4 linked regions of the Caenorhabditis elegans genome follow. The protein of the gene in region 1 purifies or fractionates together with the protein of each later gene. This does not show direct contact. Each region holds a gene or a part of one and is shown in the gene's direction. Other genes may lie near its edges.

Region 1 (6,057 bases):
TCCACCACCGCAGACGGTATTGAATTGGAGGGGAGCAACACAAGGACACACGATGAATGGCCTGACGAAGAGGGGCACAATAGGGGCTCTCCTTCTCCGTCGCCGCCGCCGCAGTCGACAGTCTTTCTCTGTTTCTTTCCTGTCTTTTCCATCACTTTCCTCCGGACGTCGTCATCGTTGTCCCGGTCACTACCTTAACCACCAGGCTGTTTGTGTTCAATTACCTGCGGGCGTTTTGTGTATGTTCGCGTCTGTATGTGAGAGATGAGGATGAAAAAGACAGAAAGAGAGAGAGACTAAGAACACGCTGTAATTACACAGCAACCTCATCCTCTGGATAATACTGACCGCCAGTGTGTCGTGTCAACAAGTCGGCTTAAATTATGAAGTAATTAGTCGCTCGTTCGTGGGTTATAGAATGGACTGTCCAGAATGAATTGACACGACATACTTTTTAATAATTCTTTACAGATGAAGGAGAATTCAGTGGCCGATCCTACATTTCTTCCACGTGTTACAAAATGTCATTTTAGAACGCTCACTCTCACAGAAATAAAGCAAATTCACTTTCTAGACAAAGCGAGTCAAACGGCAACTTTCATCTTGAAGTCAGGTCCACACAAGTACAAAACTTCAGCCAAGCTATGGAAGTTTTAAAGTTTAAACCCTGGAATTTCACTAGATTGTAACCAGAACTATACTTTGCAGAGATCACTGGAAGAAAAAGCTTGAACTATTTAAATTTTTATGCGATATTTTCAAAATGAAGAATTGCGTCATTAAACTTGACTCCAGCAAAACGATCAAAAGTTTCCCAATTCAAACAAACAAAACGCTCTCGAAAAAAACGAGCCGATCATCTTGCATCTTCCTCTTTGTAGTCAAATTTGAATTCGCAATTTCTCACTTTGATAATATCGAAATATTTATAAAAATTTCAGACGTAATATTTTAAACAGATTTATCTTGAAAACTACTCACCTTCGGTAGTTGAAGCTCGCTGTCACTCAGATCTTCTCTAACGTCGCCGTGTATTGAGTGATCCGATCCATAATCGAGCTCGTCGTCCATGTCTCTGCTGAAATAAATAAAATTTAGATACATTTAAACTGTTATGCACAATGAAGACAAGGGAGAAAAGTTCAACAATGAATAAATATATTTTTCAATGATCGAAAAGAGTTTGAAGAAGGCGTTCAATATATCTCGCAACAATAACTATTTTAAACGAGTAGAAAATGTTCAAAGGACGGTAAATATGCTTTTCGCGCAATAAAACTCGAGAGCTGAAAGCAAAAAGTCGAGATTGAACAAAATAAGGTAATACAAATTTATCATAGCGCATTAGCTTGATTTTTCGAAAAAAAAAACATATAAAAGAATGCGAGGAAATAGTGGCCAGGTTTTTCTCAGTGAAAAACGCTTCCAAACAAAACCGTAAAATCGATTGGCCCAAAAAACAGATTTCAAACAGCGCGGTAGAAATGTTTTTGCAGTGGAGCGCACATTCGCTACCCAAAATGCGCGGCAAAACAAAGCGAAAAGATTTGGAAATAAAAAAAATTGACTTTCAATTCTTATTTTATTGTTTTATTTATTGATTATCACAATCTAAACGGATTTTCGATGTTATGAAACTTTAAATTCCCACCTAATCGCCTTAATTCTCTCCCTATTAAATCTTTAAACGTTTGTTCAGACAAAAAAACGATTCGCGGCGTTTCGTTTGAGCACGTTTACATTACTATTTTGACAAACAATTTCTTTCTACTTTCATAGTTTATTTATTGTTCTAATGCTGAGTTTTATCAGAAATGACCTCCAAGCGTCCTGGCGGGAGCTCGTTTCAACCAGAAGTGAAGCGAAAGCGTGAAAGTGACGAATTCGAGCAGTGTTACGTTGTAAGTTTTTCATATTATGATTTCAAGCTTTTAAAAATTGCATTTTTTATTTTTAATGATCACTAACCATTTATTTTCAGTCAAGATTCGAAAATGAACTTCCATCTGTACCAACGATTGATAAAACAGGATGGGCCAGGCCAGCAGTCGATAAAGATCTCGGAATTAGCAAAAGCATTGCGTGTCAGATCTTAGAGGTCGAAACGTATCATGAAGACGGCTCTGCAACATCTTACGACAGAACAAATGTGAAGTTGTATGGTGTAACCAAATCTGGAAATTCGATTTGTGTCATTGTGACTGACTACTTTCCACATTTTTATTTCCAGGTAATCTAAGCTTTAAAAAATAAGTATTGGTAATATTTCTTACAGGCACCACAAGGATTCGGTGTCGAGCACATTGGAACTGCACAATCTGCAATTTGCAATATGGTTGCTGCAGCAAAACGCCGAGGTGGTAGCGGTCAAGCTCAATTGCCTGGAAAAGTAGTTGATAATCTTGTTCATGTGGAGATAGTTCACGGAGAGAATCTTTATTACTTCCGCGGTGCTGATACGAAAGTTCCTTTTGTCAAGGTGTCAGGATCTACAGAAGCTCTTCACAAAGCGCGAATGGAATTGAAAAATGGAGTTAACTTGATGGGAAAGGGTCCTGTGAACGTTGGGAATTTATACGAGTCAAATATTAATGTGATTGTCATGTTCTTGGCGAAAACGAATATTGTTGGATGTGGCTGGATTGAGGTTTTGACAATATTAGTTTTTTTTTAATTCTTTATGATTTCAGATTCCTGCTGGAAAGTGCCGAATTCTTTCAAACAGTGAAAAGTCGTCTCGTTGTCAAATAGAAGTCACAGTTCCGGTCAAAAACCTGATTGTTCATGAAAGTGATGGTGAATGGGCTGGAATTGCTCCTATTCGGTAAGTTTGAAAGTTTGAACTTACTTTTGAAAAAATAACTTTTTTAGTACTTTGTCTCTGGATATCGAATGTATTGGTCGACGTGGAGTGTTTCCCGAAGCAATTAAAGATCCTATTATTCAAATAGCTAATCTTGTGAAAATCGAAGGTGAAGCAGAACCATTTGTTCGTAATTGTTTCGTTCTTGGAACATGTGCACCGGTCGTCGGTTCAAATATCATTCAATGTGTGAATGAAAAAGTTCTTCTCGAAAAGTGGGCTGAATTTGTTCGTGAAGTGGATCCCGACATTATCACTGGATATAACATTCTCAATTTTGATCTTCCATACATTCTGGATCGTGCTAAAGTTCTATCACTGCCACAAGTTTCTCATCTTGGTCGTCAGAAAGAAAAAGGCTCAGTTGTAAGAGATGCTGCAATATCATCGAAACAGATGGGAAGTCGAGTGAACAAGAGTATCGATATTCACGGAAGAATTATTTTTGATGTACTTCAAGTTGTACTTCGGGATTACAAACTCCGAAGTTATACACTCAATAGTGTCTCATATCAATTTTTATCCGAACAAAAAGAAGATGTGGAACATAATATTATTCCTGATTTACAACGAGGAGATGAACAAACTAGGAGGCGATTGGCTCAATATTGTTTGAAAGACGCATATCTTCCTCTTCGTCTGCTTGATAAATTAATGTCAATTATTAATTACATCGAAATGGCTAGAGTCACCGGAGTTCCTATGAATTTCTTACTGACAAAAGGTCAACAAATCAAGGTAAATCAAAATATATTTTAAATTATAATACTGAAATTGTTGTAGATTCTATCAATGATGCTACGAAGATGTAAGCAGAACAATTTCTTCTTACCGGTAATTGAAGCCAATTCTGGGGATGGTGAAGGATACGAAGGTGCTACTGTCATTGATCCGATTCGAGGATTTTACAATGAACCAATTGCAACACTTGATTTCGCTTCTCTATATCCATCCATTATGATTGCTCATAATCTCTGTTACACGACACTTTTAAAATCCCCACAAGGAGTTGAGAATGAGGATTATATTCGGACACCATCTGGCCAATATTTTGCAACCAAATCTAAGCGCCGTGGGCTTCTTCCCGAGATTCTCGAGGATATTCTGGCTGCAAGAAAACGAGCGAAGAACGATATGAAAAACGAGAAAGACGAGTTCAAAAGAATGGTTTACAATGGACGACAATTGGCGCTTAAAATCTCTGCAAATTCTGTTTATGGTTTCACTGGTGCAACTGTTGGAAAGTTGCCATGTCTCGAGATTTCTCAATCAGTTACAGCTTTCGGAAGAAAAATGATTGACATGACGAAACTCGAAGTGGAGAGAATTTACAAAAAAGGAGCTCTCGATGGAAAATGTCCAGCAGATGCGAAAGTTATTTATGGCGATACAGATTCTGTAATGGTGAAATTCGGTGTCGAAACTGTAGCTCAAGCAATGGAAATTGGACTCGATGCTGCTAAAGAAGTCAGCAAGATTTTCACTCCGCCGATCAAACTTGAATTCGAGAAAGTTTACTCCCCATATTTACTTATTAACAAAAAGAGATACGCTGGCCTTTACTTCACTAAACCGGATGTTCATGACAAGATGGATTGTAAAGGATTAGAAACTGTTCGCCGTGATAACTGCCCTCTGGTTGCAAAAGTTCTCGGTGTTTGCCTCGAGAAATTACTAATAGAAAGAGATCAACAATCTGCTTTGGATTTTGCGAAACGGACAATTAGTGACTTGCTCTGCAATAAAATTGATATCTCATTGTTGATTATCAGTAAGGAATTAACAAAGTCTGGAGATGTAAGTTCGATTTCAAAACCTTACGAAACTAATTGATTATGTTCAGAAATATCAAGCAAAGCAAGCTCACGTTGAGTTGGCGGCTCGTATGAAGAAAAGAGACGCTGGAAGTGCACCAAGACTTGGAGATAGAGTTCCATATGTTTTTGTCGCTGCTGCAAAAAATGTTCCGGCATACGAACGAGCTGAAGATCCAACTTTTGTACTTCAAAATAACATTCCATTGGACACCAAACACTACTTGACTAATCAACTCGCCAAACCACTTGCCAGAATTTTCGAGCCCATCTTGGGTGATAGAGCAGAAAAGATTCTGGTGGAAGGAGAACATACAAGAGTTCGTACAGTCGTTCAGAGTAAAGTTGGAGGTCTTGCAGCGTTCACAACGAAATCTGCAACTTGTCTTGGTTGCAAGAGTGTTTTACCAAGAGCAGAATCAGAGAACGCAGTTTGCAAACACTGTGAGCCGAAGCTTCCAACGATTTTTGCTTCTAGGTAATTAGAAATGCAATAATTGTTCTACTATATTTTTCATTTCAGAATGAACACTATGCACGAACTTGAAAACCATTTTGGTCGCCTCTGGACCGAATGCCAAAATTGTGCAAAGACTATGCAAGACAAAGTGAATTGCTCGGCTCGAGACTGTCCGATCTACTATATGAGGGAAAAAGTTCGAAACGAGCTATCGGAGGCAAGTGCCGTCATCGAACGATTTGGAGATCCTTGCTTCCAGGCACCTACTAAATGAATTAATTATGATCCCGGTTTATTTGTCTAATTATTATTGACTGTGAATGATCTTACCACACTATTCATCTCATCACACATTTTTCTTTATTACTGGTTATCTTATAAACTCGCGTTGATGATTAAAACATATGTTTTTAATTCTTTAAACTTTTTTGTAAGCGATAATCGCTTAAAATACTTGTCTGATATATTAAATTTGAATTTAAAATACCACAATTTTCAGATGATCACTCGAAAAGCAATATTCTTTTTAGCATTAGCGTCAATTATTCAAGCATCAGATGATTCCGAAGCTCCCGATAATAAAAAGTCTTCAATAAGATTCACTCCATCAGTTATTGATTCTTATAGAGAAAAAGTTCAAAAAATGTTCTACCACGCCTACAACGGATATTTGGATCATGCATTTCCACTAGATGAACTGAAACCAATAACATGCGTTGGACAAGACACCTGGGGATCATTCTCTCTTTCATTAATTGATGCTCTAGATACTCTTCTGGTGATGGGAAATACAACCGAATTCCGAAGAGCAGTGTCACTTGTTCTTGAGAAAGCTCGTGATGATGCTAATGTGAATGTTTCTGTTTTCGAGACGAATATCAGAGTTGTTGGCGGATTAATATCTGCACATATGCTAGCGG
Region 2 (7,674 bases), on another chromosome or scaffold:
GATGACTCTTTCCACGTCCACCTTGATATTCTCGATCCCTAGATGATCTGATGGCGATGAGGCAATCGATTTCAGAGCAACAGCGCATGCTAGCTGTAGAGTTCCGCACATTGCTTGATCCGACCAGTCTGTTTCATTCCGAATGTGGGCGATCATGTTTGTGAGCACTTGTTGAGCATCGTGAACTGTAAACTCTCAAACAGATTTGTAACTGGATTTTTGGGTATAGGCATGAAGATGGAGTAGCGAGAATTGCTTTAGAAAATCGAAAATATTCTCGAATACAGAAAAACCACAAAAGAAAAACAGAAAAATCGCTACTCCATCTTCAAATATTACCTTGAGACAACACTTCACTCGATGTGATTTTAACGAGAGAAATCCAGGCTGTCAAGCTACTACAACTGAGCTTCTCCGGTGGAACTGCCTTTACAATTTGGAATAAATGATTTGAAATCGAAACTGCGTTTCCTCCCGGAATCTCACAGATCATCGAAATGCAACCAATTACTTCACTTCGAATCTCCTCAATGGCATTTCTGACCTGAAATTAATTTTATGAAAGAATTCCAAAATTATAATCAATTCGGTACCAATTTCTGATGTTTAGAGCCTCCTAAACCGTTGACATCTGGAGATTGAAGTCGTGCAAATTCTGATTGAACGGTGAAATTGATTAGTTGTTCTGAAAATTGGAAAAAAAAATTAGTAATATTTATGATAATATAATTTTTTGAAAACCCACGAAAAAGGTTTTTGATCACGTCCTCGTTGATGAATGTGCTATTGAGGAACTTGCTGATACGTTGAGGAATATCCTCTCGGTCCCATTTTAGCATTTGGCGCATTGTTGCGATTAGGAGCCTGTGCGCATCATAGTAGCAAACGACAGCGATTAATCCTCTGTTGAGGCCTTCGAAATGTATTTTTTGAGCTTCTCCGGCCAAAATCAAATCCACAGCTTCCAGCTCATTTAATTGAAAGATATCCGACAAAATGAGTGCTTCCGAACAGATTTCCTCGTCTAGCGCAACTTCCACTCCTGCCATTTCCACATTTCCTGGCTTCAGCTTTTCCCGATCTTTACCCGTTCGTCTCTTCAATTAGAAAGGTTTATTACACTAACATCAGTCGGAAAACATACCGGATTCAAAAGAATATTGCTCAATCGCCATCTGTATTTCTCGATTTCGTTGAACAGCTCGTTTATTTTTCGGTCGTCATCGAAAGCTGTGAAGGAGACGATGAGTTCGTAAAATTTACGAATCTCAATCCACATTTTGAGCTCTCTAAAATAAATAAAACATTATTTAGAACAAAAAGTTACTTTTTTTGAATTTTTTCGCAAAAAAATTACACAACTTCTATCTCGCAATGCATTTCCGTAAGAGACGCAGACACAAAAACTAAATTTCGTATTTCGAGGCTACAACTACGGTAACACTCGTTTCAGCTGTGTATTTTTCGCGCGTTCGCTGCGAGACCCGACGCTCTTAGGCCGCCAATTTCGAATCGGACGCTCATTTTGGCGCGCTCAGTTGTTTTTTTGTGCGCTCTCTAGCCGGCTGTCTTGCATCGATTCAGTGTTCAGTGTCCAGTGATGTCCACTGGTGTGCTAGTTCTTTTTCTCTTCACTCATTTTTCTTCGCATCCTCAAGTTTATTGAATATTCACCGCGTTTCTTTCTCTCTTTCTCCCGATCGTCCTAAAATTAAATGTCATCTTTTTCCAGATCTCTAACAATGAGCGACTCTGATAGTGAATTCTCTATCGAAGATTCACCCAAGAAGAAAACCGCACCAAAGAAGGAGAAGGCGTCACCGAAGAAAAAGAAAGATGATGGTTGGTTAATTTGTAGAGTTTCTTGAATCTAATTTGCTTCTTTTCAGCCAACGAGTCGATGGTTATGACTGAAGAGGACCGCAATGTGTTCACGTCGATCGACAAAAAAGGTGGTGGCTCGAAACAAATGGCGATCGAGGATATCTACCAAAAGAAGTCCCAACTCGAGCACATTCTTCTTCGCCCGGACACCTACATCGGTTCGGTCGAGCATACCGAGAAGACGCCGATGTGGGTCTACAACATGGAGGAGAGCAAGCTGGAGCAGCGTGACATCTCATACGTGCCGGGACTCTACAAGATTTATGATGAAATTCTTGTGAATGCCGCTGACAACAAACAGAGAGATCCGAAGATGAACACAATCAAGATCACCATCAATAAGTAAGTTTAGACCGTAGCATAAAGGAATTTAATTTAATTTTGCTTTCTTTCAGGGAGAAAAATGAGATCTCTGTCTACAACAATGGCAAAGGAATCCCAGTCACTCAGCACAAAGTGGAGAAAGTCTACGTCCCAGAGCTGATTTTTGGAACTCTTCTAACATCTTCTAACTACAATGACGATGAGAAGAAAGTGACGGGAGGACGCAACGGATATGGAGCAAAGCTTTGCAACATCTTCTCCACAAAATTCACTCTGGAGACGTCTTCACGGGATTACAAAAGTGCATTCAAGCAAACGTGGATCAAAAACATGACGCGTGATGAGGAGCCGAAGATTGTTAAGAGCACCGACGAAGACTTCACGAAGATCACATTCTCGCCGGATCTGGCAAAGTTCAAGATGAAGGAGCTGGACGATGACATCTGCCATTTGATGGCTCGGCGTGCGTATGATGTGGCTGGATCCAGTAAAGGAGTCGCCGTGTTCCTCAATGGAAAACGAATTCCAATCAAAGGATTCGAGGACTACGTCCAAATGTACACTTCGCAGTTCAACAATGAAGGAGAACCCCTCAAGATCGCATACGAGCAAGTTGGAGATCGTTGGCAAGTCGCCTTGGCTCTTTCGGAAAAAGGCTTCCAACAAGTGTCATTTGTCAACAGTATTGCTACCACAAAAGGAGGACGGCACGTGGACTACGTGGCTGATCAGATGGTCGCCAAGTTCATCGACTCGATCAAGCGGAAGCTCACAAAGACGTCGATGAATATCAAGCCATTCCAGGTAAATTTCGTCGAATTTAAAATATTTACCGCCAATGATGACTCAAAATAGCTATATGAACTCTTTGGTGACTCGATAATAAGAGAAATCTGAAAATTTTCAAGGTTTTTCTAGAGATTTCACCGATTCTTTTGAAGTATCGGTGCACCAAGTGAAAAATAAAATTGCGACGCTTTAGTGACGCTGGAGAAAGTTTTTATCCAGTGTCTAAAGGCGCGGCGCAACATTTTTAAACTTTCCGATGATTTGTGATTACTAAAAGGCGAATCTGAGGCGAGGAATTGCTAATGCGAATTCAAATCTAATAAATTTTCCAAATATTCAATTTTATATCAAAATTTTCAGATCAAAAATCACATGTGGGTTTTTGTGAATTGCTTGATCGAAAATCCGACATTCGACTCCCAGACGAAAGAGACTATGACCCTGCAGCAGAAGCAGTTCGGATCGACCTGCGTCCTCAGCGAGAAGTTCTCCAAAGCGGCTTCAAGTGTTGGAATCACCGATGCTGTTATGAGTTGGGTTCGCTTCAAACAAATGGACGACCTCAACAAAAAGTGCTCCAAGACGAAGACTTCCAAGCTGAAGGTAACAATTCATCTAATTCGTGGCCTTGTTTTAATTAATATTTATTTCAGGGCATTCCAAAGCTTGAAGATGCCAACGACGCTGGAACCAAAAATTCCCAACAATGCACATTAATTCTGACGGAGGGAGACTCGGCCAAAACGCTTGCTGTTTCGGGACTTTCAGTCGTTGGACGCGACAAATATGGAGTATTCCCACTTCGAGGAAAATTGCTAAATGTCCGAGAAGGAAATATGAAACAAATCGCCGATAATGCTGAGGTCAATGCCATGATCAAAATTCTGGGACTCCAATACAAGAAGAAGTACGAGACAGAAGATGACTTCAAGACTCTTCGATACGGTAAACTGATGGTCATGGCTGATCAGGATCAAGACGGTTCACACATCAAAGGACTCGTGATCAATTTCATCCATCACTTCTGGCCTTCTCTCATTCAGCGGAACTTCGTAGAAGAATTCATCACTCCAATTGTCAAAGCCACCAAAGGAAAAGAAGAAGTTTCCTTCTATTCGCTCCCAGAATATTCTGAGTGGAGAATGAATACGGATAACTGGAAGTCGTACAAGATCAAGTACTACAAGGGATTGGGTACATCGACTTCTAAGGAAGCTAAGGAATACTTCTTGGACATGGTTCGTCATCGTATCCGCTTCAAGTACAATGGAGCTGATGATGATAACGCTGTCGACATGGCTTTCTCGAAGAAGAAGATTGAAGAGAGAAAAGACTGGCTCTCGAAGTGGATGCGGGAGAAGAAGGACCGAAAGCAGCAGGGACTTGCTGAAGAATATCTCTACAACAAGGACACTCGATTCGTCACCTTCAAAGATTTCGTCAATCGTGAATTGGTCCTCTTCTCGAATCTCGACAACGAGCGTTCAATTCCATGCCTTGTGGATGGTTTCAAGCCAGGACAGCGGAAGGTTCTCTTCGCGTGCTTCAAGAGAGCAGACAAGCGTGAAGTCAAAGTAGCTCAATTGGCTGGAGCTGTCGCTGAAATTTCTGCTTACCATCACGGAGAACAGTCGCTTATGGGAACAATTGTGAATCTCGCTCAAGATTACGTTGGCTCCAACAACATCAACCTGCTTCTTCCAATCGGACAGTTTGGTACTCGTCTCCAAGGTGGAAAGGACAGTGCTTCAGCTCGTTACATCTTCACTCAACTGTCGCCAGTCACTCGTACACTCTTCCCGGCTCACGATGACAATGTCCTTCGTTTCCTTTATGAAGAAAATCAGCGTATTGAGCCAGAATGGTATTGCCCGATTATTCCAATGGTACTCGTCAATGGAGCTCAAGGCATCGGTACTGGATGGTCCACGAACATTCCTAATTACAATCCACGTGAACTGGTCAAGAACATCAAGCGTCTTATCGCCGGCGAGCCACAGAAAGCCTTAGCTCCATGGTACAAGAACTTCCGCGGAAAGATCATTCAAATCGACCCGAGTCGATTTGCATGCTATGGTGAAGTTGCTGTGCTGGATGACAACACCATTGAGATCACCGAGTTGCCAATCAAACAGTGGACTCAAGACTACAAAGAGAAGGTTTTGGAAGGATTGATGGAGAGCTCGGACAAGAAATCGCCTGTTATCGTCGACTACAAAGAGTATCACACAGATACAACTGTCAAGTTCGTCGTGAAGCTCTCGCCGGGAAAACTTCGTGAATTGGAGCGCGGTCAGGATCTTCATCAAGTCTTCAAGCTCCAAGCTGTCATCAACACTACGTGCATGGTACTTTTCGATGCTGCCGGATGTCTTCGTACATACACTTCGCCAGAAGCGATTACTCAAGAGTTCTACGATAGTCGCCAAGAGAAGTACGTACAGAGAAAGGAGTACCTTCTCGGAGTTCTTCAGGCTCAGAGCAAGCGTCTCACTAACCAGGCTCGTTTCATCCTCGCCAAGATCAACAACGAGATTGTTCTCGAGAACAAGAAGAAGGCGGCGATTGTCGATGTTTTGATCAAGATGAAGTTCGATGCTGATCCAGTGAAGAAGTGGAAGGAGGAGCAAAAACTCAAAGAGCTTCGTGAATCTGGAGAGATCGAGCTGGACGAAGATGATCTAGCTGCTGTCGCCGTCGAAGAGGACGAAGCCATTTCCTCTGCTGCGAAGGCCGTTGAAACCAAGCTATCAGACTACGATTACCTTGTCGGAATGGCTCTCATCAAGCTTTCGGAAGAAGAGAAGAATAAGCTCATCAAGGAATCGGAGGAGAAGATGGCTGAGGTTCGAGTTATCGAGAAGAAGACCTGGCAAGATCTTTGGCATGAGGATCTGGACAACTTCGTGTCTGAGTTGGACAAACAGGAGGCTCGCGAGAAAGCTGATCAAGATGCCAGCATCAAAAATGCCGCCAAAAAGCTTGCTGCCGACGCAAAGACCGGACGTGGACCCAAGAAGAATGTGTGCACGGAAGTCCTTCCATCCAAAGATGGACAGCGCATTGAGCCGATGTTGGATGCTGCAACCAAGGCCAAATATGAGAAGATGTCTCAGCCAAAGAAGGAACGCGTCAAGAAAGAGCCAAAGGAGCCGAAAGAACCAAAGAAGGTGAAAAAGGAAGGCCAGGACATTAAAAAGTTCATGTCTCCAGCTGCTCCGAAGACTGCGAAGAAGGAGAAAAGCGACGGCTTCAACTCTGACATGTCAGAGGAAAGTGACGTGGAGTTCGATGTAAGATTTCCTCTGTAATTTCTTCAACTTCTAAAATATTTTTTGCAGGAAGGAATCGATTTCGATTCGGACGATGACGGTGTGGAGCGTGAGGATGTCGTCTCAAAGCCAAAACCTCGTACTGGAAAAGGAGCTGCGAAAGCGGAAGTTATCGATTTGTCAGATGATGATGAAGTTCCTGCAAAGAAGCCTGCTCCAGCGAAGAAAGCTGCTCCGAAGAAGAAAAAGAGCGAGTTCAGCGATCTGTCTGGCGGCGACAGTGATGAAGAAGCTGAGAAGAAGCCGTCCACCAGCAAAAAGCCGTCTCCAAAGAAGGCTGCTCCGAAGACGGCCGAGCCCAAGTCGAAGGCGGTGACCGATTTCTTTGGTGCTTCAAAGAAGAACGGAAAGAAGGCCGCTGGTTCCGATGATGAAGACGACGAAAGCTTCGTTGTGGCTCCAAGAGAGAAGAGGTTAGTTTGAAAATTATTTTTAAAAAATGTAATTATTTCAGCGGAAGAGCTCGCAAGGCGCCACCAACTTACGACGTGGATTCAGGATCCGATTCGGATCAGCCAAAGAAGAAGAGGGGACGCGTCGTCGACTCCGACTCGGATTAAATTAATTTGTTTCCCACCTTCCTTAAGTGTTTCTAATTTATTTTCTTTCCAATCATTTTAAAATCGTTTTAACGATCTCAACCATCCCCATCCTCCCCCAAATCATCCCGTATATTAAGTTTGTATTTTTACATGAGGGAAACTGCTGTAATATAATTATCGCCCTTATGCCTAAATTATTTACCCCTACCTAATTTCACTGTTTTTAAAAGTTATTTTTCTATTTATGTGAGTCTCAAGAATTATTGAGAAGAGTCTTCTTGCAATGAAAATGCCTATATTTCCAAAGCTTCCAACCTATATGCAGGTCTTCATCGTTTGTGTCGCTTGAGAAATGACGATGACAAGTCGTAAACGGTCTGTGTCCTTCTTCGTTGCATCCAACGTCTTGTTCCTACTGTTTTCTATTCCCCTATCGATCACACACTGTGTGTGCGTGTCCTTGGGCCTCTACCGTTTTTGAGGTCGAACATTTTAGACATTCAGGCGAACAATGAGATTTAGAGAGACACATGGAATCGCCTCCCCGGGAGAACTGGAGACTCGAGATGATTTGGTAGTCAGATAAGAAGAATCAATTGTATATTGAAGAAAAATGTAGAAATTAGGGAAACTTTTAAAGATAAAATTTAAAAATAAAATGCATTCGGCGCCAAGCTGAATGTGTCTCTAGTCATAGTCCTTGCTTTGTGGAGGATATTATGACTAACGAGCACATCCAGCGTGGCACATGGTGCATGAGCAGCTGAATACTGGAACGAAATTTGAATAAGTTGATTCTCAGA
Region 3 (4,950 bases), on another chromosome or scaffold:
TGAAATGACGACTGACATGCTCTACGTATCCCGTTTAAAAGTTGAACTTGATCAACGAATGCGTGATTCACAGTTCTTTATTGAAGCAGAGAAAGACGACGAAATTAAGCGTTATTTGGATAAATATTCGAATATTAAGAGGGAAAAGCTTAGCATTGGTACGGAAATCTAGGTGAAATTGTGTCTCAATTTCAGAAAAAACAAAAAAAAAATTTGAAAATTCAACTTTTTGGCTAAATGAGAAGAGCGGCCAATCAGCGATTTGCTCCGCCCATTTTTCAACCAATCAGATGGAATGGGCGGAGTTGGAAGATGCTGATTGGTCGGAGAGTTCGAGGAAATTAGCCAAAAAAAGATTGAATTTTTCTATTTTCTGTAGCGCTTTTTCTGAATTTAAGGCGATTTTTTAACCTTTTCAAATTCATAAAATCCATTTTAGATATGTCCCATATGCCGAATGAGCTCATTTGGCGCCGAGCTAGCTCGAAATCCAAGGAATCTTTGGCAAAACGACGAAAAGTCGCCAATGACGATTCGATGATCAAGGAGAAGTTGAAAAAATTGGAAGAAAAAGAAGCACAGAATAAGGATGATGATGATGACGATGAGAAGGCTGATAATGATGTAATAGATATTTTAATTTCAGATTTTTGACATTTTATATGGGACAGGGCATTTTTTAGCACTTTTTTTTCAGAAAAAATCGAAAAATAATTTTCAGAAAAATCGAAGTAAATAAGTAGAAGAAATGCACGGAAAATGACGAGAAAACTAAAAATCGAAATTTTTCGTTTTTTCGAGAAAAATAATCAAATTTTCAATAATTTCGGGTTATTCCTCATGAATTGCAAAAAAAAAATATTTTCTCATCAAAATTGGCATATCTTTTGATGAATCTAGAGTTTTCTCGTCCCTTTATTTCTGAAAATAAAATTTAATTTTAGTTGAAACATTTGGAAAACTGCTCAAAAAATGTTCGAAAGTTGGAAATTTCTAATTTTCAGACGATTTTTGAGTGGTTTTTCAATTGTTTCAACTAAAATAGGAGCTATTTTCAGATAAATCACTACATTTTAATGAAAATAATTGGAAAAAAATCATATCTTAATTTCAGAAAGACTCTGGCAGTGAAAAATCCGCGGCAGAAGAGGAGGAGAATCCATTATCAGATGATGACAATCAGGAGGAGGATAACGATTACATCTCGGCTTACTTTGATAATGGAGAAGGATATGGGGACGGCGGTAGCGATGATAATTTGGATGCCGATGATATTTAAAGAATCTCCGGACACTTTTTTTGTTGTTTTTGTTGTTTTTCTCTCAATTTTTGAATATCATTGTTAAATATATGAATTTATTTATTGATTTTCCCTTAAATTTAACCCTTTTATTCGTTATTAGCTTCAGATTTAACCAATTGGTTCAGAAAATCGGTTTTTTCAAGGAAAAAAGTGTCCAAATAATGATTACGCAATCGCGCTCCATGGACAACTAATTGAACGCACCGTTTTCCCGCCAAATTGAACGCAGCTCCGATATTTTTTATCCTTTCTTGGGGTTTTTTATAGTGAGAAACACAATTTTAAGCAAATATTTTATTGTTTTTAATCAATTTTAAACGAAAAATATATTAGAATTGTTAATTTATCGTTTCGCAATCTCATACTCATCTTATTTTCTCGAAATCTTGGAGAATATCGGGGGTTTTTCGTTTTTTACGTCAGGAAAGTGCGGCGAAATCCGTATAAATTCGGTGAAATTTCATGAATTTGACTGATATCGTTCGGTAAAACCTAAAAAACCCTATTTAATTGGAGAACAAAAAGGAAAATCGTGTTTTTTTTTCGAAATTCGCTGTAATTCGTTTCCTACCCCCGTTTTCCACTCAAAAATCCACAAACTTCCCAATTTCAGAATATTTCAGATATAAATTCACAAGGACTAACCCCACACCGCTATGGGAATTAAAGGACTCTCCCAAGTGATTGCTGATAATGCTCCCTCCGCGATTAAAGTCAACGAGATGAAGGCGTTCTTCGGAAGAACAGTACGGGAATTTTTTCCTTAGATTTGCAAAATTGAAGGTTCAAAAATTCGAAAAAATAATTTTTTAAAGCGAAAATCTCCAATTTCGTCTACTTTTCTGTGCGCCGCAGTCTGATTTTCATATTTTAAAATATTTTAGTCGTTTATCTCCTGCTATTTTGTTGATTAATGATTTATCGGTTCGACGCGATAAATCAGAAAAATTTGAAGATTTTCAGCTCTAAAATTGGCTCATTTTTACATAATTTTGAACATTTTGAAGAAATTTCCGGGTAAATGTCTTAAATTTCGACGAGTTTTGAGTCTTTACAAGCAAAAAAACAAAAAAAAATGTTTTTTTTTCAGGTAGCAATCGACGCATCAATGTGCCTCTACCAATTCCTCATTGCTGTTCGTCAAGATGGTTCCCAGCTTCAAAGTGAAGATGGAGAAACCACAAGTCACTTGATGGGAATGCTGAATCGTACGGTTCGAATGTTCGAGAACGGAGTGAAGCCTGTCTACGTTTTCGACGGAAAACCACCGGATATGAAGGGTGGAGAGCTTGAAAAACGTTCCGAGCGTCGTGCTGAAGCAGAAAAAGCGCTGACTGAGGCCAAGGAGAAGGGAGATGTTAAGGAAGCGGAGAAGTTCGAGAGAAGACTCGTAAAAGTCACAAAACAACAGAACGACGAGGCGAAGCGTTTGCTGGGATTAATGGGAATTCCAGTTGTCGAGGCTCCATGCGAGGCAGAAGCTCAGTGTGCTCATCTCGTGAAAGCTGGAAAAGTATTCGGAACTGTCACTGAGGATATGGACGCGCTGACCTTCGGCTCCACGGTTCTTCTCAGACATTTCCTGGCTCCAGTCGCCAAGAAAATCCCGATCAAGGAGTTCAATCTTTCTTTGGCTCTCGAAGAAATGAAGCTAAGCGTTGAGGAATTTATTGATTTGTGTATTCTTCTCGGCTGTGACTATTGTGGAACTATTCGAGGCGTCGGGCCTAAGAAGGCTGTTGAGCTGATCAGACAGCACAAGAATATTGAGACGATTCTTGAGAATATCGATCAAAATGTTCGTCGTTCGTAAAATGCCTATTTTATTATAAACGCGCTCCACGGCAAATAAATGCCCCGAACCATGGGTCTCGTTAGGTACTTGCCGGTGAAATCATAAATTCGAATTTTTCACTTAGTTTTGCCTTTTTTTTTAAATTAATTTTGGCATGAAAATCAATGGAAACAACTAAAAAAGCCGAAAAATTCAATAAAAAATTAGCAAATTTTGAACTTACGGTTTTGCCGCCAAATAGCTAACGAGGCCCATTATGCGTGCAAGCGTAATTTTTCGAGAAAAAAAAAATCGAATTTCCAATATTTTCCTGTCATTTTTCAATTTATTGGAGAAAAATTATTTTATTTTTCTCATCAAACTTTAAAAAAAGCTATATTGTTTCTCCTAAAGATTTATTATTGAAAAAATTATGAATTTGTTCGTTTTTCGATTTTTTCTCTGAAAAAAACTCGAAAAATTGAAAAAAAATAAATCGAAAGTTTTCAATGTTTTTTGTGAAAAAACTGACAAAAAAAAGCGGAAATTTTCAGTTTTGTCTAAAAAAATCGAAAAATTTCAATTTCCTACTAGAAAAAACCGAAAAATGGAAAATTTTCTTTTTTCTCTTAAAAAAAATCGAAAAATTTCACTTTCCTTCTAGAAAAAAACCGAAAAATCGGAATTTTTTAAACAACACTTTTGGCTCGAAAGCGGAGCCTTTTGAATTAGCAGTGGAGCGCGTTAACACATCGATTTCAAATTGGATTTTTCTGCGGATCTATAATATATCTAATTTCTAAAAAAAATTCCAGAAATACCCACCACCAGAGGATTGGCCATACAAGCGTGCTCGTGAGCTTTTCCTCAATCCAGAAGTGACAAAACCGGAAGAAGTTGAACTGACATGGAAGGAAGCCGATGTCGAAGGTGTCATTCAGTTCTTGTGCGGAGAGAAGAACTTCAAGTTTGTCCCCATGAACCTCATGAACTTCATCTAATTTTTCTTTCATTTCCAGTGAGGAGCGCATCCGAAACGCGTTGGCAAAACTGAAGACTAGCCGTAAATCTGGAACACAAGGACGAATTGACTCGTTCTTCGGAAACTCGACCAAGGTTACATGTGTGACAGCTGCGACAAAACGAAAGGCGGAGGAAGCTGAGAAGGCGAAGAAGGGAGCAAAGAAGGGTGGACCACCGAAGAAGAGAGCCAAGTAGCTCACACTAACTATTCAATTTCTTATTTGATTTTTGTGAAATATTGATTGAAACGAAATAAGGTTTTTATTTACCTTTATCCTTTTTTTAATGGAACACACAAAGCTAAGAAAACAATAAAAAATTTGGAAATTTTCAATTCCGTCAATTTGCCGATTTGCCCAACACCCATTTGCTGGAAGTTTTCAGGGTTTTTTATAAGACTGACCAATTTGGGAAATTTGAATTTTTCAATTCCGGGAATTTGACGATTTGCCGGAAAAAAATTTTGCGGCTTACCTCTGATGCATACTATTACGGGAACACTAAATTCTGAGAATGCGTATTGCACAACACATCTGACGCGCAAAATGTCTCGTAGCGAAAACTACAGTAATTCTTTAAATGATTACTGTAGCACTGTGTCGATTTACGGGATCTCGATTCTTGGCATGAATTAGTAAAATTATTATTTATGGATTGAATATTAAAATTTAGCGAAAAATGACGAAATAATACAAGAAACGGAGGAAAATTATAAATCGCTATCGATATTCAAAAAGAAATTATAAAACATTCCGAAAATCGAGCGCGTAAATCGACACAAACCGTACAGTAGTCTTTAAAAGAATTACTGTAGTTTTCGCTACGAGATATTTTGCGCGTCAAATATGTT
Region 4 (4,987 bases), 7.1 Mb from region 1:
TTGGGCGCTGCTAAGACTACAAACTACAAGTTTGGGCGCTGCTAATTCAATTTTGGGCGCTGCTAAGACTACAAACTACAAGTTTGGGCGCTGCTAATTCAATTTTGGGCGCTGCTAAGACTACAAACTACAAGTTTGGGCGCTGCTAATTCAATTTTGGGCGCTGCTAAGACTACAAACTACAAGTTTGGGCGCTGCTAATTCAATTTTGGGCGCTGCTAAGACTACAAACTACAAGATTTTGGGCGCTGCTAATTCAATTTTGGGCGCTGCTTAGACCACAAACTACAAGATTTGGGCGCTGCTAATTCAATTTTGGGCGCTGCCAAGACTACAAACTACAAGATTTTGGGCGCTGCTAATTCAATTTTGGGCGCTGCTAAAACTACAAACTACAAGATTTTGGGCACTGCTAAGACTACAAACTACAAGTTTGGGCGCTGCTAATTCAATTTTGGGCGCTGCTAAGACTACAAACTACAAGATTTTGGGCGCTGCTAATTCAATTTTGGGCGCTGCCAAGACTACAAATTACAAGATTTTGGGCGCTGCTAATTCAATTTTGGGCGCTGCCAAGACTACAAACTACAAGTTTTTGGGCGCTGCTAACCCCATTTTTCTTGCAGGAAGACGCCATGACAACATATTATCGAATGAAATCTAGAAAACTGGAGCTGGAAATCAAAAAATTGGAACGAGAACTCGGCGAGGAGCAAGATGAGGCCCAAGAGCACGAAGAATAACCAATTTTTAATCTATTTTCCACAAAAGTTTATCCCGATTTCTCTTTTATTGATTTTCTGTACAATTTTCTCATCCGAAATAAATCAATTTTTTTTAATATTTCATTGAATTCAGCGGAAAATCAATAAAAAATAGAGTTTCCCGATTAATCTGATTTAAATTCCCACGCAACGACGCTCCGAAATCCCGCCAACGCGCCTTGTTTACCGTAAATCGACACTTCATTTTTCGACGAATTTCTCTGATTTCTCACCTATTTTCATGGATATTGCCCCCATTTTTCGTGAAATTTTCGATCGTAAGTGCTTAAAATGATTGAAAAATTTAATTTTTGATTTTAGAATTCAGTTCTGACAATATATATCGCTCATGGCACAAAATATCCCAGGAAATTCGAAGCGGCGATGAAAAAGAGCGCGTTTTCCGGTTGATTGTGAAGATTTCGATGCAAAAACTTGATACATATGAAGCTGGCAAGGAGGTGAGTGTGAAATTCATCAAAATTTGAAGAAAAACGTCAAAATTTTCAGGTAAATCGTGAAAATCCGCAAATTTCGGCGCAATTTCCCGATTTTCTCTTCAAATTTCTCCACGCTTTCCAATTTCTGCCGTCAGATCAGCAAACCTTTGCGAATTCCATGTTCTTGCTGAAAATAATCGATTTATTCGGTTCGGAATGCCCGAAAATTATAAATTTCTCTGAAATTTCATATATTTCGAGGCTTCTCGAGCTTGCCACTAACGTAAGTGGTGATTTTTTGCCGAAATCTTTAATTTTTGAGCTAATTTCAGGTATTATTAAAGGATTTATTCGAAAACTCGGTGAATTTATACCCAAAAGACGGGAAATTCAGGAAAATCGGCGCCCGGGACCTGCTCGACGGAGTTGTGATGTCAGAAGAGCCGGAAGATGGGAAATATAAAGAAAAATCGTTTTTAAAGATGAAAACGAAGGTTTTAATCGATTTTCTGAAGGAAAAATGAGTAAAAATTCGAATTTTCAGCTAATGGAGCTCGAGCCACGTGGAAATTCGGATTTTGAGCGGAAATATTTGGATTTTGAATCTAAAAATGTGTAAATAGTACTAAAATTTTAATAAAACGGGTTTATTTATTGATTTTATCGTCTTTTTACTGGTTTTCAGCCAGAAATCTTACTTTTTCCACTGTTTTCCTAATTTTTCAACCTTAAACTCCACACATTTTCAGCCAAAAAAATGGGTAAAGTGTCAAAATCACCCGGAAAGGGCGAAAAAAGGATCGGAAAAGTCGGCAAAAAAAATGGAAAAAGCAATGCTCCGACGGAGGGCTCCAATTCTGGAAAAGCTTCACGCTTCACAATGTCCGAAAGGAATTTGGGATTGATGCAAGAAATTATTCGAAAAGATCCGGAATCCTATAAAGAGGTGCGAAATTCGAGAAAAAACGAGAAAATTCGCGAATTTTGGGTTAAAATTGAGTAAAAAACGACGAAAAATTCGATTTTGGGCGCTGCTAAGACTACAAACTACAAGATTTTGGGCGCTGCTAAGACTACAAACTACAAGATTTTGGGCGCTGCTAATTCAATTTTGGGCGCTGCTAAGACTACAAACTACAAGATTTTGGGCGCTGCTAAGACTACAAACTACAAGTTTTTGGGCGCTGCTAACACCAAATTTTGCCAATTTTCTGCTAAAACATCACTTTTTTCAAATAAAAATTAAAAATACATACATTTTTCGACTACAAACTACACTTTTTCATGAAATTTATCGATTTTAGCTCTAATTTATTAATTTTTTGCAGGAATTCCTCGAACAATTCAACTATTTCGTTCAAACAATGAAACTTCTCCACTTGCAACCCGAACAATCTCGTCAAGAAATGCAATCTCTCGTCGATTCGGTGCTTTTTCTGTCCGGATTGGCGAAACATTACCCGAAAGAGTCGAAACAATTCTCCGATAGTCTTTTTGAGCTTTTGAGAGAGCAAGGAGCTGGTTTGGATCCAGAAGTATGTGGAAAACCGAGGAAAAATGCGAAAAATTGATAGAAAGACAGGAATTTTCATCGAAAATGCGCCCTAAATCGATTTTTTCTTCATAGAGTGCTCAATATTTTGGGAAAAATTCGGAATTTCTGCCGAATACTTAGATTTTGGCTCAAAAATTCAGAAAATACTGCGTTTTTTCACTAAAAATTGCGAAATTGTTTCAAATTTCCGAAAAAAGGAAGCAAACATTCAAAAAACCAGAGAAAATTAAAAATTTCTTTATAAATTTCTTTTATTCTGAAAATTTCCAGAAAAATCAATAAATTTTTAGTAGAAATCAATGAAATTTCTGAAAAATCGATAAATTTTCAGAAAAGTCGATACATTTTTAGAAAAATGAATGAAATTCGAGAAAAATCGATAAAATTCCAAAAGAATCGATAAAATTCAAGAAAAATCGATAATTTTACTGAAAAAACGATAAATTTAAATCTATAAAAATCAGGAAAAATCATAAAAATTCGAAAAAATCAATAAATTTTCAGAAAAATCAATAATGTTTCAGAAAATTCGATACATTTCCAGAAAAATCAATAAAATTTTAGAAAAATCAATAAATTCCCAAAAAAATCGATAAATTTTCAGAAAAATCAATAATTTACATTTTTGGAATTTTCCGAAATTTTTTGGCCAAAAATTGAACAATTTCAATGTTTTTCTAATTAAAGATCCAATTTAAAGCGAATTTCCGCATTTACTGTTGGAAAATTTCGATTTTTTCACCGAAAAAGTGCCAAAATACCAGAAAATCCAGTTAAAAATTCAATTTTTTCACCTTAAAGGTGGTGTAGTCGAATTATTTTTATCGCCTTATTAGACTCAAAATTGTCTAAAAACACCGAATTAATGAAACTTCTTGAAAACTTTTTAGAAAAAAGTTATGATGACTCAAAAAATGGTCTAAAATTCGTTAAAATCGGAAATTTGACTTGTCAAGCGGCTGAAAACTATTTTTTTTGAAATTACCGTCAAATTTTGAGTATACAAGTTGATTATCTTGTGTTTTCAACTTGATTAAGGTATTTAAAAGCAGATGGACAGCGAGATTTTCAATTGTTTTAAACAAAAACTCGCCGTCCATCGACTTTTAAATACCTTAATCAAGTTCAAAACGCAAGATAATCAACTTGTGAACTTAAAATTTAACGGTGATTTCAAAAAAAAATAGTTTTGAGCCGCTTGACAAGTCAAATTTCCGATTTTAACGAATTTTAGACCATTTTTTTGAGCTGTCATAACTTTTTTCTAAAAAGTTTTCAAGAAGTTTCATTATGAAATTCGGTGTTTTTAGACAATTTTGAGTCTAATAAGGCAATATATAAAAAATTCGACTACACCACATTTAAAGGTGGACTACGCTCAATGGGAAAATTGCTTTAAAACACGCCTATGGTACCACAATTACCGAATATCATGATAAAAAAAATTCAAGATTTTATATGATTTTTTGAAAATTGGAAAAATCACAGTTTTCACCCAATTATTTTTGAATTTCCCCCCCCCCCCCCCCCAAATTGGATTTGTTCGGCGGAGCGCGCTTGCATTATTTTTATTAATTTATTTTATTTATTCTCATTATTTCACTGATTTTCTTCATTTTTTGTGTTTTTTCCTCGGAAAATGATGGAAAGAAATAGGAAAAATGCGAAATGTTTGTTAAAAGTAATTGAAAATGAGTAAAACTGTGTGTAAATATACTAATTTCGGGCTTGTTGCCGTCGGAACACAGAATATCACGGTTTTACGCATTTTCAATTGCTTTTTAACAAAAACATTTCGCATTTGTCCTATTTATTTCTTCCATTTTCCGAGGAAAAAACATAGAAAATGAAGAAAATCAGTGAAATAATGAGAATAGATAAAATAAATTAATAAAAATAATGCAAGCGCGCTCCGCCGAACAAATCCAATTTGGGGGGGGGGGGGAAATTCAAAAATTATTAGGTGAAAACTGTGATTTTTCCAATTTTCAAAAAATCATATAAAATCTAGAACATTTTTTTGAATTTTTTAATCATGATATTCGCACTGCAACTTTTTCCTCACGAGGGACGAGGAAAAGGGGTTTCTAGGCCATGGCCGAGGGGCCGACAAGTTTCAGCGGCCATTTATCTTGCTTTGTTTTCCGCCTGTTTTCTTTCGTTTTTCACAGTTTTTCCCGTTTTTTCTTATTAAAACTGATAAATAAATATTTTTTGCAGATGCTAAA

What was found.
Region 2: the proteins of pold-1 (region 1) and top-2 fractionate together in Caenorhabditis elegans (co-fractionation; one large-scale study listed by BioGRID). This does not show direct contact.
Region 3: the proteins of pold-1 (region 1) and crn-1 fractionate together in Caenorhabditis elegans (co-fractionation; one large-scale study listed by BioGRID). This does not show direct contact.
Region 4: the proteins of pold-1 (region 1) and pro-3 fractionate together in Caenorhabditis elegans (co-fractionation; one large-scale study listed by BioGRID). This does not show direct contact.

The regions. Positions count from the first base shown.
Region 1 is NC_003283.11:12,039,796-12,045,852, forward strand, and holds pold-1 (DNA polymerase delta catalytic subunit), read left to right. Parts: upstream 1-1,760; 5' UTR 1,761-1,814; coding exon 1,815-1,901; intron 1,902-1,981; coding exon 1,982-2,230; intron 2,231-2,275; coding exon 2,276-2,647; intron 2,648-2,690; coding exon 2,691-2,824; intron 2,825-2,871; coding exon 2,872-3,601; intron 3,602-3,646; coding exon 3,647-4,660; intron 4,661-4,706; coding exon 4,707-5,155; intron 5,156-5,200; coding exon 5,201-5,411; 3' UTR 5,412-5,552; downstream 5,553-6,057. Other genes in the region: Protein kup-1, read right to left, coding at 982-1,071; F10C2.5 (alpha-1,2-Mannosidase), read left to right, coding at 5,637-6,057. UniProt on the Caenorhabditis elegans protein: Possesses two enzymatic activities: DNA synthesis (polymerase) and an exonucleolytic activity that degrades single stranded DNA in the 3'- to 5'-direction.
Region 2 is NC_003280.10:11,873,415-11,881,088, forward strand, and holds top-2 (DNA topoisomerase 2 top-2), read left to right. Parts: upstream 1-1,733; 5' UTR 1,734-1,742; coding exon 1,743-1,842; intron 1,843-1,889; coding exon 1,890-2,226; intron 2,227-2,279; coding exon 2,280-3,012; intron 3,013-3,045; exon of another isoform or gene 3,046-3,140; intron 3,141-3,141; exon of another isoform or gene 3,142-3,202; intron 3,203-3,216; exon of another isoform or gene 3,217-3,288; intron 3,289-3,357; coding exon 3,358-3,600; intron 3,601-3,650; coding exon 3,651-6,290; intron 6,291-6,338; coding exon 6,339-6,742; intron 6,743-6,783; coding exon 6,784-6,889; 3' UTR 6,890-7,174; downstream 7,175-7,674. Other genes in the region: npp-3 (Nuclear Pore complex Protein), read right to left, coding at 1-185, 340-544, 594-685, 746-1,097, 1,145-1,279. UniProt on the Caenorhabditis elegans protein: Control of topological states of DNA by transient breakage and subsequent rejoining of DNA strands. Topoisomerase II makes double-strand breaks.
Region 3 is NC_003279.8:3,480,071-3,485,020, forward strand, and holds crn-1 (Flap endonuclease 1), read left to right. Parts: upstream 1-1,926; 5' UTR 1,927-1,959; coding exon 1,960-2,049; intron 2,050-2,393; coding exon 2,394-3,101; intron 3,102-3,892; coding exon 3,893-4,044; intron 4,045-4,096; coding exon 4,097-4,295; 3' UTR 4,296-4,430; downstream 4,431-4,950. Other genes in the region: Y47G6A.9 (DNA-directed RNA polymerase III subunit), read left to right, coding at 1-158, 440-624, 1,115-1,279. UniProt on the Caenorhabditis elegans protein: Structure-specific nuclease with 5'-flap endonuclease and 5'-3' exonuclease activities involved in DNA replication and repair.
Region 4 is NC_003283.11:19,115,379-19,120,365, reverse strand, and holds the start of pro-3 (Protein SDA1 homolog), read left to right. Parts: upstream 1-1,953; 5' UTR 1,954-1,961; coding exon 1,962-2,150; intron 2,151-2,532; coding exon 2,533-2,739; intron 2,740-4,987. Other genes in the region: bed-1 (BED-type domain-containing protein), read left to right, coding at 627-743; Y39B6A.13 (RsbRD_N domain-containing protein), read left to right, coding at 1,006-1,042, 1,086-1,225, 1,275-1,487, 1,537-1,698, 1,749-1,823. UniProt on the Caenorhabditis elegans protein: Required for 60S pre-ribosomal subunits export to the cytoplasm. Required for normal somatic gonad development and for regulation of germline development and proliferation.